Linked DNA regions of Callithrix jacchus. The protein of the gene in region 3 interacts with the protein of the main gene of each other region in a biochemical or structural test. Links are inferred from orthologs where the notes say so. Each region holds a gene or a part of one and is shown on either strand. Other genes may lie near its edges. The genes, in order: PTPN12, CSF3R and SHC1.

Region 1 (3,646 bases), on a different chromosome or scaffold from region 3:
CTGAATGTATTGTTCCTGCTATATCATGTCTAGCAATGGACATTGGCAATACTTTCCTAGTAGAAATACTTTCAGTGCTAGTGGCAGCAGAAACTGTGGCACTTGCTGTTGAAATATTAGTTTTATTCTGGGTCACAGCACCATCAGAGTTTCTTTCATCTGAGTCTGAGTCATCAGAGTGAAGTGGATTAGTAAAACTGAGGGGTGTTCTGAAGAGAGGTGAAGTGTTATGATCCACAAGATCATGGGTTTCAACTCGTGTTGTAGGACTTGGTGTTAAACTCACAGTTTTCATAGTTTGATAGCAGATATCTGAGGAATTGCCTTCAGATAAATCAGGTATGGGTATGGCATTTTTAGGTCCATGAAATGACCACGTTGCATGTCCTTTTTCATCAAGAGGCAAGCAATCTGGCCTTGGAGGTGTGTCTGAATTCTGTGATTCTTCTGGTGGAGTAACTGGAACTTTGTTTGATTGTGTTGCACTGCAGTCCATACAAGAATTCTGAGAAATATCATCGACATTTAGATCTGAACTTAATTCCTGTTGTTTAGAGATTTTATCAGTTATACAAGGTGAAGCAGATTTAATTTTAATTGCATGCCCCCTATTCAAAAGAGTGTTCCCATCAAAACTTTTTGGTCCCTCTTGGAGAGGGACCTTCTTAATCTCAAAACTTAAATTTCGTTCCAATTTTTTATCTATTTGTTCGATTGTTGATTCATTTTTCCCTGGAAGGTCTGTTGATTTATTATAGTTCCTGTTGAGGTCTGCTGAATGTTGTTCTGATGAAACCATATGCAACACTGGCTTTGGATGGTATCTATCATTATCCTGCCACACAGTAGTGACTGTTGGGAAAGCTGAAGGGGGAGAAGGTGTCAAGATGGGTGGCACCGGATGAGGTTCTGGTGGCTGCAATATTTCTTCTTTAGCATCCCCTTCAACAAGGCAACTGAAAAACATTTAAAAAGAGCATTTTAAGACTGTTAAACACGTTGATACATGAGAATTATGTAGCTAAGACTAGTATATTAAGAGCTATTAGAATCTGGTTATTAATATAAATTGTCATTTTTCAGACTAAGAAAATTTAATGTTCAACAAGGTAACACACATATACCATATAAAAAGTCAAATATAAGACTTTTAATAAAAATCATATTCCCTCCACACCCCAAAGCCCCCCAGTTAGCCAGAGACATCCACTTTCAACTTTTTACAGTTGCTTCTAAAATTTACCTCTGTATTTCAGACTATTTCAAAAGTTATTTCTTAATCTTTATTTCACACATTTTCTATTGACTTGCTACTGTGAAACGTCCTTCTTTTCCATCTTTCTAATACTGTCATAATGTAATTTTTTGTTGCCATGATTTTATGTCTTTTCTTCTATCATGTCTTGTTTTCCCCTAATGACTGCCTTGGGTTTCTGATGGCGTAGCTCTCTATCCACCTTCAGTTACTCGGCTTTTCTTGTAACTTTCCTGCAGACTGGTATACCTCTTCTCAATAGTAACAAGCACACCTGGTAACTAACAATACCACAGACATCCCTCTTAGTAACCTTTGGCCTCCTGCTCCAGTGTGAACCACTGGTTCCCTAGTCCACCATAGTGCTAATGTTCTCCCTGGTTTCAGATTCTCCTGTTTCCCCAGGTCACATCTTCCTCTTTCTGGGTATATTCCTTTGTTTGGGTGGGTTATATCCTCTGGTTGCCTTTATTTTTTTCCTTAAAGAGATAGGGCCAGGTGTCATGGCTCACGCCTGTAGTCCCAGCACTTTGGGAGGCCAAGGTGGGCAGATTGCTTTCGCTCAGGAGTTCAAGACCAGTCTTGAACTTACCATTAGTAGAGATGGTAAAACCCCATCTCTACTAATAATACAAAAATTAGCCAGGTGAGGTGGAGCATGCCTGTAGTCCCAGTTACTCAGGAGGCTGAGGCAGGAGAACTACTTGAGCCTGGGAGGTGGAAATGGCAATGAGCTGAGATGGCACCACTGCATTCCAGCCTGGGCAACAAAGAGACACTGTCTCAAAAAAAAAAAAAAAAAAAAAAAGATGGGGGCTGGGCACAGTGGCTTACGTCTATAAATCCTACCACTTTGGGAGGCCAAGGCAGGTGGATTGCTTGAGCCTGGGGGTTCAAGACCAGCCTGGGCAATATAGCAAAACCTTGTGCCTTCAACAAATACAAAAAAATTAGCCGGGTGTGGCAGTGCATGTGGAAGTGGGAGGATCACCTGAGCCTGGGGGCAGGGGGGTCGAGGCTGCAGTGAGCTGTGATCATACAACTGTACTCCAGCCTGGGTGACAGAATGAGATCCTGTCTAAAAGAAAAAGAAAGATAGGGTTTACTATGTTGCCCAGGCTTTGCGGCTTTTTAAGAACTTTATATGAAGCAAACTTCTTAAGGGCTTGTATATCTGAGTTATTTTGATTTTCTTTTTCTTTTTTAGATACAGTCTCGTTCTGGTGCCCAGGCTGGAGTGCAGTGGCACCATCTCAGCTCATTGCAACCTCCACCTCCTGGGTTCAAGCAATTCTCATGACTGAGCCTCCTGAGTAACTGGGACTACAGGCACATGCCACCATGCCTGGCTAATTTTTGTATTTTTAGTAGAGACAGGGTTTTGCAATGTTGGACAGGCTGGTCTTGAACTCCTGGCCTCAAGTGGTCTTCCTGCCTTCCCCTCCCAAAGTGCTGGGATTACAGGAGTGAGTCACTGGGCCCCACATCAGAGTTTTTGCTTTTTTTTCTTCAAGGTGATCAACCTTTTTATTATCCAAACAGAATTGGTAGTAATCACATGGTACACCAGGTTTCCCCTTAAAAGAGACTCTGAAGTTCAGATTCTCTAGACACACTCCTAGAATAGGACATGGGAAGTTAAATGAGTATCTCCAGAATACTGGTCATATTAAAACAACAGCAATACTCCCATAAAATGTTCCTATATCTGTTTAAGTTTTACAAGCAGATTCTTTTTTTTTTTTGAGACAGGGTCCTGGCTCTGCTATCCGGGCTAAAATACAGTAGCAACAATCTTGGCTCACTGCAACCTCTGCCTCCAGGGCTCAAGCCATCCTCCCAGTTTAGCCTCCTAAGTAGCTTGGGACTACAGGTGTGCACCACCACACCTGGCTAAGTTTTGTATTTTTTGTAGACATGTGTTTTCGCCATGTTCATGTTGACCAGGCTGGTCTCAAACTCTTAAACTCAAGCAATCCACCTGCCATATCCTTCCAAAGAGCTGAGACTGCAGGTATAAGCCACTGTACCTGGCCTATAAAAGCAGGTTCTGAATCTTAAAAGAGTAGCCATCGAGTTTTTGTGATCTAAAACAAAAAATAATTGCAGACACCTCCTACAGTTTACAAAGCATACACAAAGATCAATAGGTTATCCTAAGAACACATAATACAAATAGGAAATATGAGTTTTAAAAGGACAAAATAAAATTTTGATATAAATTGAGGTTTATTATTTCTCCTACATGTACATGAGACCACTTGTCAACAATCAGTATTTTATTATTTTTATTGATTCAGAGTCTTACTCTGTCACTCAGGCTGCAGTGCAGTGGTGTGATCTTGGGTCACTGCAACCTCTACCTCCCAGGTTCAAGTGATTCTCCTGTCT
Region 2 (3,746 bases), on a different chromosome or scaffold from region 3:
GACAGAGGTGTGGATAAGAATTGCCCAGATACCCAAGGCTATTCCTGCTCACAGGGGCCTTACCCAGACCCCAGTCTATCCATATATATTGCAGTATCAGAATACCCAGGGACTCTAGCCTGTAAGTCTCCTTTGTGCAGATCAGAAAGAAAGCACCCCTTCTTCAGGATGGATGCAGCACCACACTAGGACCTGACAACTAGGGCACAGCCTGGATTTCATCTCCAGTTACTACTCAGTTTTGTGCAGTGAGAAACCTGCACAACTATCCCAAGCATCTGTCTACACATCGGTGGTTAGTCACCTTCTTACTACAGCACACCAGTTTGATTATCCCCCTTAACAGTGGTTGGGGAAGATTTAGCCTCCAAGCCCAAGACTTTGGGACACTGGTTTTCATCTCCATGTGCTTTTGATCATATCCCAGCTCTGTTGCCCTAGCCAGGGTCAGCTTCAGGCCCAGCCTATGCCCCGTGCAGTACCACCTTATCTGCCTCCATTGGCTCCTGTCCAGAGCAGACAATCTAGCCCCGAGAGGCCCTGGCCTCCTCCCGCTGGATGCTGGGTGTTGGCCTGCTTGGCCTCAGTCCCTGGTCCCTCACTGCAGCCCTGGGCACCCCCCACCCAGGTTGAGAGGGCCTAGGGCCTGTTGGAGCATCATCTCACTCTCTGGGGGGCTGATATGCAGAGAGGTTTGGAGCCCAGCTCAGATTCAGGTCACCTGACTTGATCTCTGGCTCCACCACTTACTTGTGACCTTGGACAAGTTACTTCACCTTTCTGAGCCGAGCCTCAGTTTCCCCATCTGTGGAAAATAAATAACATTAGCACTCATGCCTCAGGGTTGTTGTGAGGATGAAATGAGATGATTATGGTAAAGGCACTTAGCACTGTGCCTGGCATGGAATCGGCACTCAGCAACTGTAGGTTATTTTCATGAGCCATAAAGTGGGTCATCAGCTCACAGAATCCAGCACCGTTCAGTTCTCCCTTCACCCCTGCCTCCCTCACAGCCTGCATGGCCACACCTCCCAGGACTGCCACCTTGCTTTTATCTGTGCCACACTGCACAGTTCCCAAACCCCCTTTCTGGATCCTCTCCTCCTAGCTCCCTGGCCCCTGGCCCTCCTGTCACTGTGGCCTTCTCTGCCACCGGGCTCTGCAGGAGCTCGTTCCGAGGCTGCTGCCCAGCACACCATCTCCTGGGCTGGCTGCCCAGCACACCACCGTGCCTCCTGGGCTGGCCGCCCAGCACACCACCGTGCCTCCTGGGCTGGCCGCCCAGCACAGTTCCGTGCCTCCTGGGCTGGCCGCCCAGCACACCACCGTGCCTCCTGGGCTGGCCGCCCAGCACACCTCCGTGCCTCCTGGGCTGGCCGCCCAGCACACCACCGTGCCTCCTGGGCTGGCTGCCTAGCACACCTCTGTGCCTCCTGGGCTGGCTGCCTAGCACACCTCTGTGCCTCCAGTGCTAGCTGCCGTTGAGCCCCCTCTTGCTGTTTCTCCCTCCATCACCCTCAACTTTCTCCCCTCACACTCTTTTCCCCAGTTCACACCCCTTGCTCCCTTGCTGTTTTTACTCTTACCTCGAGATTCTTTCTGTGTGAAGGGTGGGGAGGGAAGAGGGGGCTGGGAATAAACAGAGGGAGAGGGCTTTCCAGTGTGCTGCAGATAAAGAAGAGAACGCCACAAAGAATAACAGAGCAAGGCGGTGACTGAAATCCACACAGACTGAAATGACAGAGACCCACCGAGAGGAAGATTGAGGCCGGAGATGTCGAGAGACAGAGAAAAAGGGCCCAAGAGACAAGTCCGCCGACCCAGAGAGCCAGAGGCACTCAGTGGCCTGGAGCCCGGGAAGCAGTCTGTTACCAAGAGTTTAAGATTCAAGGGATAGCAGGAAATATGTGAGACAAACTCAGAGAGACAGCAAGCCAGAGAGAAGTTTCAGGAGGAAATATGGAAACAGAGAGTGAAATAGACAGAGGCCCAGATGGAGCTGGAACTCACAGACACACACGTTCTGAGAGACAGAGGCATGGGAGAACGATTTTGTCTGCCCCCAGCCTAGCTCAGTGCCCCCAGGGAGAAACTTGGCTGTGAGTGACTTCCCTGGTGCAATACCCCAAAAAGTAGGGGCACCCTGTGAAAAGAGAGTCAGTGACCAGGCTGCATATTCCAAAGGATGAATCCCTGGCCCCAGACCTAGGACCCCGGACATGAATACTTGGCGGAGCTGCGGAGAATGGCCCCAGGATTCCAGCTCTCCGTCAAGCCCAAGGCTCAGCCCCTCTCCAGAGATCCCCTACTCACATTGGAGCCTCTGGTCCAGCATCTGCTTGGCCTCCCTGGTCTCTCTTCACCTCGTCAAGAGAAGTTCCTGAAACCAGCTGCAGTCCAGCTTCTCTCCCCAAGCTCTGTCGTTAATGGCTCGGCCTCTGACAGGCCCGGGGGCTGGGGATTGCAACACCTTCCGAGCCTCTCTCCTACCCTCCCTTGTGCCTTCGAGGGCACAGGCAGCCCCTTCCTCCCAGGAAGGAGCCTGCGAGGGAAGCTGGTGAGGCCCGGGCAGCCTTCCTGCCTTGGGGGTCTTAAAGGGCTGGGGAATGTGGCAACAATGTCCCCCTCCCCTGCCTCCGGATTTCCTGAGCTCAAAGCTTTGAGGCTGGGGAGGGCCCAGGCTCCCACCTGGCTGGATGCCATCCCCATGCCCCCAGCCCTGGGGGAGCATCACTTGGAGGCAGAGCTTGGCTGGAAGGCTCACCCAGCCCCAAGCCTCTTCTCAGCTCTAGCCTTGGGGCCCAGGTCTTCACAGTACGCAGAAGGGTGTCTTCCAGGTTCCAGGGAATTTTATAACCCAAAACTTACTGCTCCCATCTTCCTTACGTATTCTCTGCATTGCCCATAGACCAGGTGGAGGGAGAAACAGGCGTTCTAGAGGCAAGACAGGAGGATGTCTTGGGGGGGGCATGGGGTCTTCCTATGTTCACTAAAAATTACTAATGTTTACCCACAATGGTTCTGCAACACTGAATATTTTGTAATTGGGTGAAATAGACTACATTTTATGTCTTTTATTGTCTGTATTTATGATGCCTCAGCAACTACAAATAATTTTCTTTGCATTTTCTGAGAGATGTTCAAACTGCCCATAGTTTATTGGACTCATAACACAATCAAGGTGAGGTACCAACAGGCCAGCAGGCTGTCCTTAACATAGAATCCTTTTCAAGCATCTGGGTGTGGTGTGATGCTGCAGACCAGGGCTGCATTTCTATTTCCAGGTCAAATGACCCGACTGCCCACTGTAGCCTCCCAAGAAATCCCACAGGCTCCACTCACTCAGTGAATCCCGGGGACTCTCCTCTTTCAAAATATAACCAGAATCCTGGGTATTCACTGTAAAGTTCGACTTGGCTGTACGTGCGATTAATTTTATGATAATATATTGGAAAATATAAATATCACTTAAACCAATGCCAGCCAGCCCCAAGCTACCCTCATCTCTTGCCTAGGCCGTCTAAATAGCCCCCTCCCTGCTCTCCTGCTTCTTTCATCCTTGTTCTCCCACCTGGCTCCTTCAACAGCCAGTGCGTTATCAGTTAAACAGAAGTCTGATCAGGTCATCCTTGTGCCAAACTTTCCAGTGGCTCCTGTGTCTGGACAGAAGCCCTTTCAATGATCTACAAAGCCCTGCGCAACCTGGTACCCCCATTATGTCCGGGACCCCTCTCCTGTTATTCTCC
Region 3 (3,746 bases):
CCTAACTAGATCTCCCCTTAGCACCCCCACCAGTGTTTCTAGTCCCCCTGCCCAACTCCACCAACCTGCTTGCAGTCTGCGGCCATGAGGTTGAGGCTGCTGGTGGAGATGGTGAGAGTGATTGGCATCCCAGCAAATTTCAGGTTACTCCTTCCCAGGATAGAGCTGAGCGGGCGGCTACAGGGCTAAGGTAGGGCCCAGGGTCTCAGAAGGTGAGGGTTCCCAGCTCCGGCAAACCACACTCTTGCCTTCTGGCCTTCCCCCACATGCCCCACACTTGCCTTCCCCCTGCCCCTCACATCTCCCAGCTGCATCCCTATCCCCAAGGACCCCAGATACCTTTCTCCTCCTTGTCGCCCCCTTAGCACCCGGCACAGCCTCACACACCAGACTGATGGCCTCCCTGGGGAAAGAGGGGTACTCAGACCCAGTGCCTGCCTGCTTCCCACTCAGCTGGGGCTGCCACAGGGCTGGGGGAGGGGAAAGCCAGGCCAGACTCCCAGGGCACTCCAGGCTCTTTGTCGTGGTGGATTGAATTAAGGGCCTTTAATATTTGATGACACTGAGAGGCCGCTTCCTGGCTGATTGGGTTAGGGCCTCAATGGGTACAGACCCACCCACTTCCAGCTACCAAATGTCCCATTCCCTTCCCAAAGGCAGCAGCAACCTTCCATCTACCCCCATTTTCTACTCCAGCTCTACCTGCCAGCTGCTTCTGCCACCTTCCCCACAACTCCCAAGGATGGATAGGTAAGGAGGATCCAGGCCAGAGGGGCCTCCTTTCAGTAAGATACAGAATTACCACCAGCTTTCTCTCAATCCCCTCCACTACCCAAAGATCAGCCCCCACCAGCAGCACTCAAGTGACCACTCCCCTCCTCCCTTTCCTGTGGCCTCACTAACCCCGGGACTCCCCCAATCCACTCCCTCCCCACTAACCTGGTGACCTGAGTCCGGGTGTTGAAGTCCAGGGCACGCATTGACTGCAGGACCTCCACACAGCCCATGTACTAAGCGGAAGGAGGGGAGGACAGCAGGTCAGCAGCTCCCCCACCCCAGCCCCTTCACAAAGGGCCCTAGGACTTTGCCCACATGGTCCTTAAGGGAAGTAGAGATGGAGAGGTTCTGCCCACTTCCCGTGGCTACATCCCACAATCAAGGTGAAAGACAACAGGGAATGAGGAGAGAAAGAAAGGCAGGCTAGAAAGAAGGACCTCGCACTGGGGAGAGAGTTTGGAGGGGACCGACAGGCATTGGCTGGGATGGAGTGACAACTCCAGAAAGCAGGAGGAGAATGGAGGGGAGGATCAATAAGTCACTCATTCCAACACTTACTAAGAGCTTCTGCCATGCTGGGCATTGTGCTAAGCATGGCAGGGTAGAGGTGGGGGTGGGGGAGTCAAAAGAAGGAAGGGGGCTCAGGCAGAGCTGGAAGGGAAGGGACTACAGAATCAGGGAAGGGATGGGAAAGGTTTAGGAAATAGGACACTGAAACGGGGTTGTAGAACAGCAGGAGAAAAGAGATTCCAGCCAAGCTGGAGTGAGCAGAACTGGGGGGGGGGGGGGGGCGGGGGCTGGGAGGGAGTGGAAGAGAGAATGTTCACTCACCCGAACCAAGTAGCAAACCCCGGGTCCCATGACTTTGTCGTTGGGATGCAGCCAGCCCCGTGTGGGCTTATTGACAAAGCTCCCGTGGCGGGTCCACTCCTCGCCCCCCAGCTGGCCCCCTTCCACCCGAGTCCTGCGCCCGCCGCCTCCACTCAGCTTGTTCATGTCCTGGAGGAGGGGTAGGGGGCCTGAGTCTGGCATGGCTGCCCCTACGATCCCCTCCCCATCATCGGCTGCCCTTCCTGGCTCCCCCTTAGGCCCGGGGCGCCCCCCAGCCGGATTGGCGAGCCTCAGGTTGCTCATCCGCGGGAAGAAGGAGCACAGGGTAGTGGGACTATCGTCCCCAGGCAGAGGAGGCAGGATGGGTCCCAGGGATGAGGCTGATGGGGAAGGCAGCTCCTCCGGGGGGGTGGACCCTGAAGCCCCCTCCTCCAGCGATGACAGAGACTCATTCCGGAGTGGATTGTACTTGGGCTTAGGGGGCAGGAGATCCATAGCTGAGGTGAGAAAGGGGCTGCTGCCCGGCCTGGCCCCCCTGCCAGTTTGGGCAAGGGGGCCAGGCAGAGGGTATCCCCAGGCCCTTAGCCTGGTCGGACCTCTGTGGCCCAGGAGTCACAGAAGTCCTGGGGAGGGAGAGGGACAAGTGGGTTCCGCTCCCCAGCTCAGACCCAGACAGTTTCAGGCCCCATCCCCGCCCAACGTGGAGCCTCTTCTCTGGCTGAGAAGAGAACAGGCTGGACCCAGAGCTGCCTGGCTCCTCCCTGGGGGCGGGGAGCTAAGGAGAGAGACCAATCCGGAGGACAGTGCTGACTCACAGGCTCAGAGGGGCTGAGCCCCACCCTGCCCCAACCTCGAACTCTCCCCAGCCCTATACAAACAACTAGTAATCTGGGGAGGAGTAAAGTGGGGGGTGGGAGGAGAGGATGGAGAAATAAGACGGAAAGGAGGGAGATAAGAGGAGGTGCGGGTCACTGGAAACCGGACACAGGCAGACCAAAGGGGCCAGGAAGCCAGGCGAGAGTAGAGAGGAATGAGGGAGGAAACGGAGGCAACTGGGGGTGGAAAAGGGAGGAGATCTCAGAGCTCAGCATTTCCCTTCCTGTCCTGGTTGAACACTAGAATTCCCCCATTCTCGAGCCCAGGCCACCCCGCACCACTACCACATACAGTGAGCCTGGGCCATTAGCATCCTCTGCTACAACAGCTGTGGACTGGAGCTAGCGAAGTGGGGATGGGAAGGAAGTGGTCCCAATGGATGCAGAGCAGGGTCAAGAGGAAGAGCAAAGCTGGTGAAAATCAGGGAATAAAGTCCAACCTGGATGGTACATCAGGAAGCTACCAGGCAAGAAGTGAACAAGAGGACATGCTGGTCACAGCTTGTTCTCTATGCGCGGCATCTACCACACCAAAGAGCTATGGCTCACAGCCAAGCACTATCCAGTCTCCCCTTTCCACAGGCTTAACACAGTACATTGTCAAGGGTGAGAATGAGGCCTCAGGTCCCCACACCCACTCCAAACCACCCCACTTCATATCCCTGCTCTTACAGGGCCCTAAGCCCCACCAAAGAGTACAGTGTCCCTCACACCTGGGAAGGAGCCTGGCTGAAAGAAGAAACAGTTCTCCAAGAGACATAGAAGCTACACGCCAGGAAAGGACAGAGAGATCAGAAGACGCATCCATGTCAATAAGGACAGGAGAAAAAATAAGTACAGGACAAAGGGATGTCAGGAGAAGACGGGCTGAAGCTGGCACAGGGAACAGTCCCAATCCCATTCCCGCCACCCACGGCTTCCTGCCACTGCTCTTCTGGAGAATGCCATAGGAAAGCTGGAAAGTGACCAAAAAAACAAGTTAAAGATACATATTCCCACCAGGTGCAGTGGCTCACGCCTGTAATCCCAGCACTTTGGGAGGCTGAGGCAGGTGGATCACCTGAAGTCAGGAGTTCGAGACCAGCCTGGTTAACATGGTGAAACCCTGTCTCTACTAAAAATACAAAAAATTACCTGGAAATGGTGGCAGGTACCTGTAATCCCAGCTCTGGAGGCTGAGGCAGGAGAATTGCTTGAACCCAGGAGGTGGAAGTTGCAGTGAGCCGAGATCAAGCCACTGCACTCCAGCCTGGGTGACAAGAG

The links.
Region 1: the proteins of SHC1 (region 3) and PTPN12 form a complex in vitro, tested with the Homo sapiens proteins (2 studies listed by BioGRID). The link is inferred for Callithrix jacchus from reciprocal best matches to the Homo sapiens genes SHC1 and PTPN12.
Region 2: the proteins of SHC1 (region 3) and CSF3R form a complex in vitro, tested with the Homo sapiens proteins (2 studies listed by BioGRID, with this or other methods). The link is inferred for Callithrix jacchus from reciprocal best matches to the Homo sapiens genes SHC1 and CSF3R.

Annotation. Positions count from the first base shown.
Region 1 is NC_133512.1:72,500,608-72,504,253, forward strand, and holds part of PTPN12 (tyrosine-protein phosphatase non-receptor type 12), read right to left. Parts: intron 957-3,646; coding exon 1-956. UniProt on the Homo sapiens protein: Dephosphorylates a range of proteins, and thereby regulates cellular signaling cascades. Dephosphorylates cellular tyrosine kinases, such as ERBB2 and PTK2B/PYK2, and thereby regulates signaling via ERBB2 and PTK2B/PYK2.
Region 2 is NC_133508.1:73,047,218-73,050,963, forward strand, and holds the start of CSF3R (granulocyte colony-stimulating factor receptor), read right to left. Parts: upstream 2,567-3,746; 5' UTR 2,314-2,566; intron 806-2,313; 5' UTR 751-805; intron 1-750. UniProt on the Homo sapiens protein: Receptor for granulocyte colony-stimulating factor (CSF3), essential for granulocytic maturation. Plays a crucial role in the proliferation, differentiation and survival of cells along the neutrophilic lineage.
Region 3 is NC_133519.1:15,383,485-15,387,230, forward strand, and holds the start of SHC1 (SHC-transforming protein 1), read right to left. Parts: upstream 2,325-3,746; 5' UTR 2,104-2,324; coding exon 1,609-2,103; intron 1,011-1,608; coding exon 940-1,010; intron 404-939; coding exon 340-403; intron 186-339; coding exon 66-185; intron 1-65. UniProt on the Homo sapiens protein: Signaling adapter that couples activated growth factor receptors to signaling pathways. Participates in a signaling cascade initiated by activated KIT and KITLG/SCF.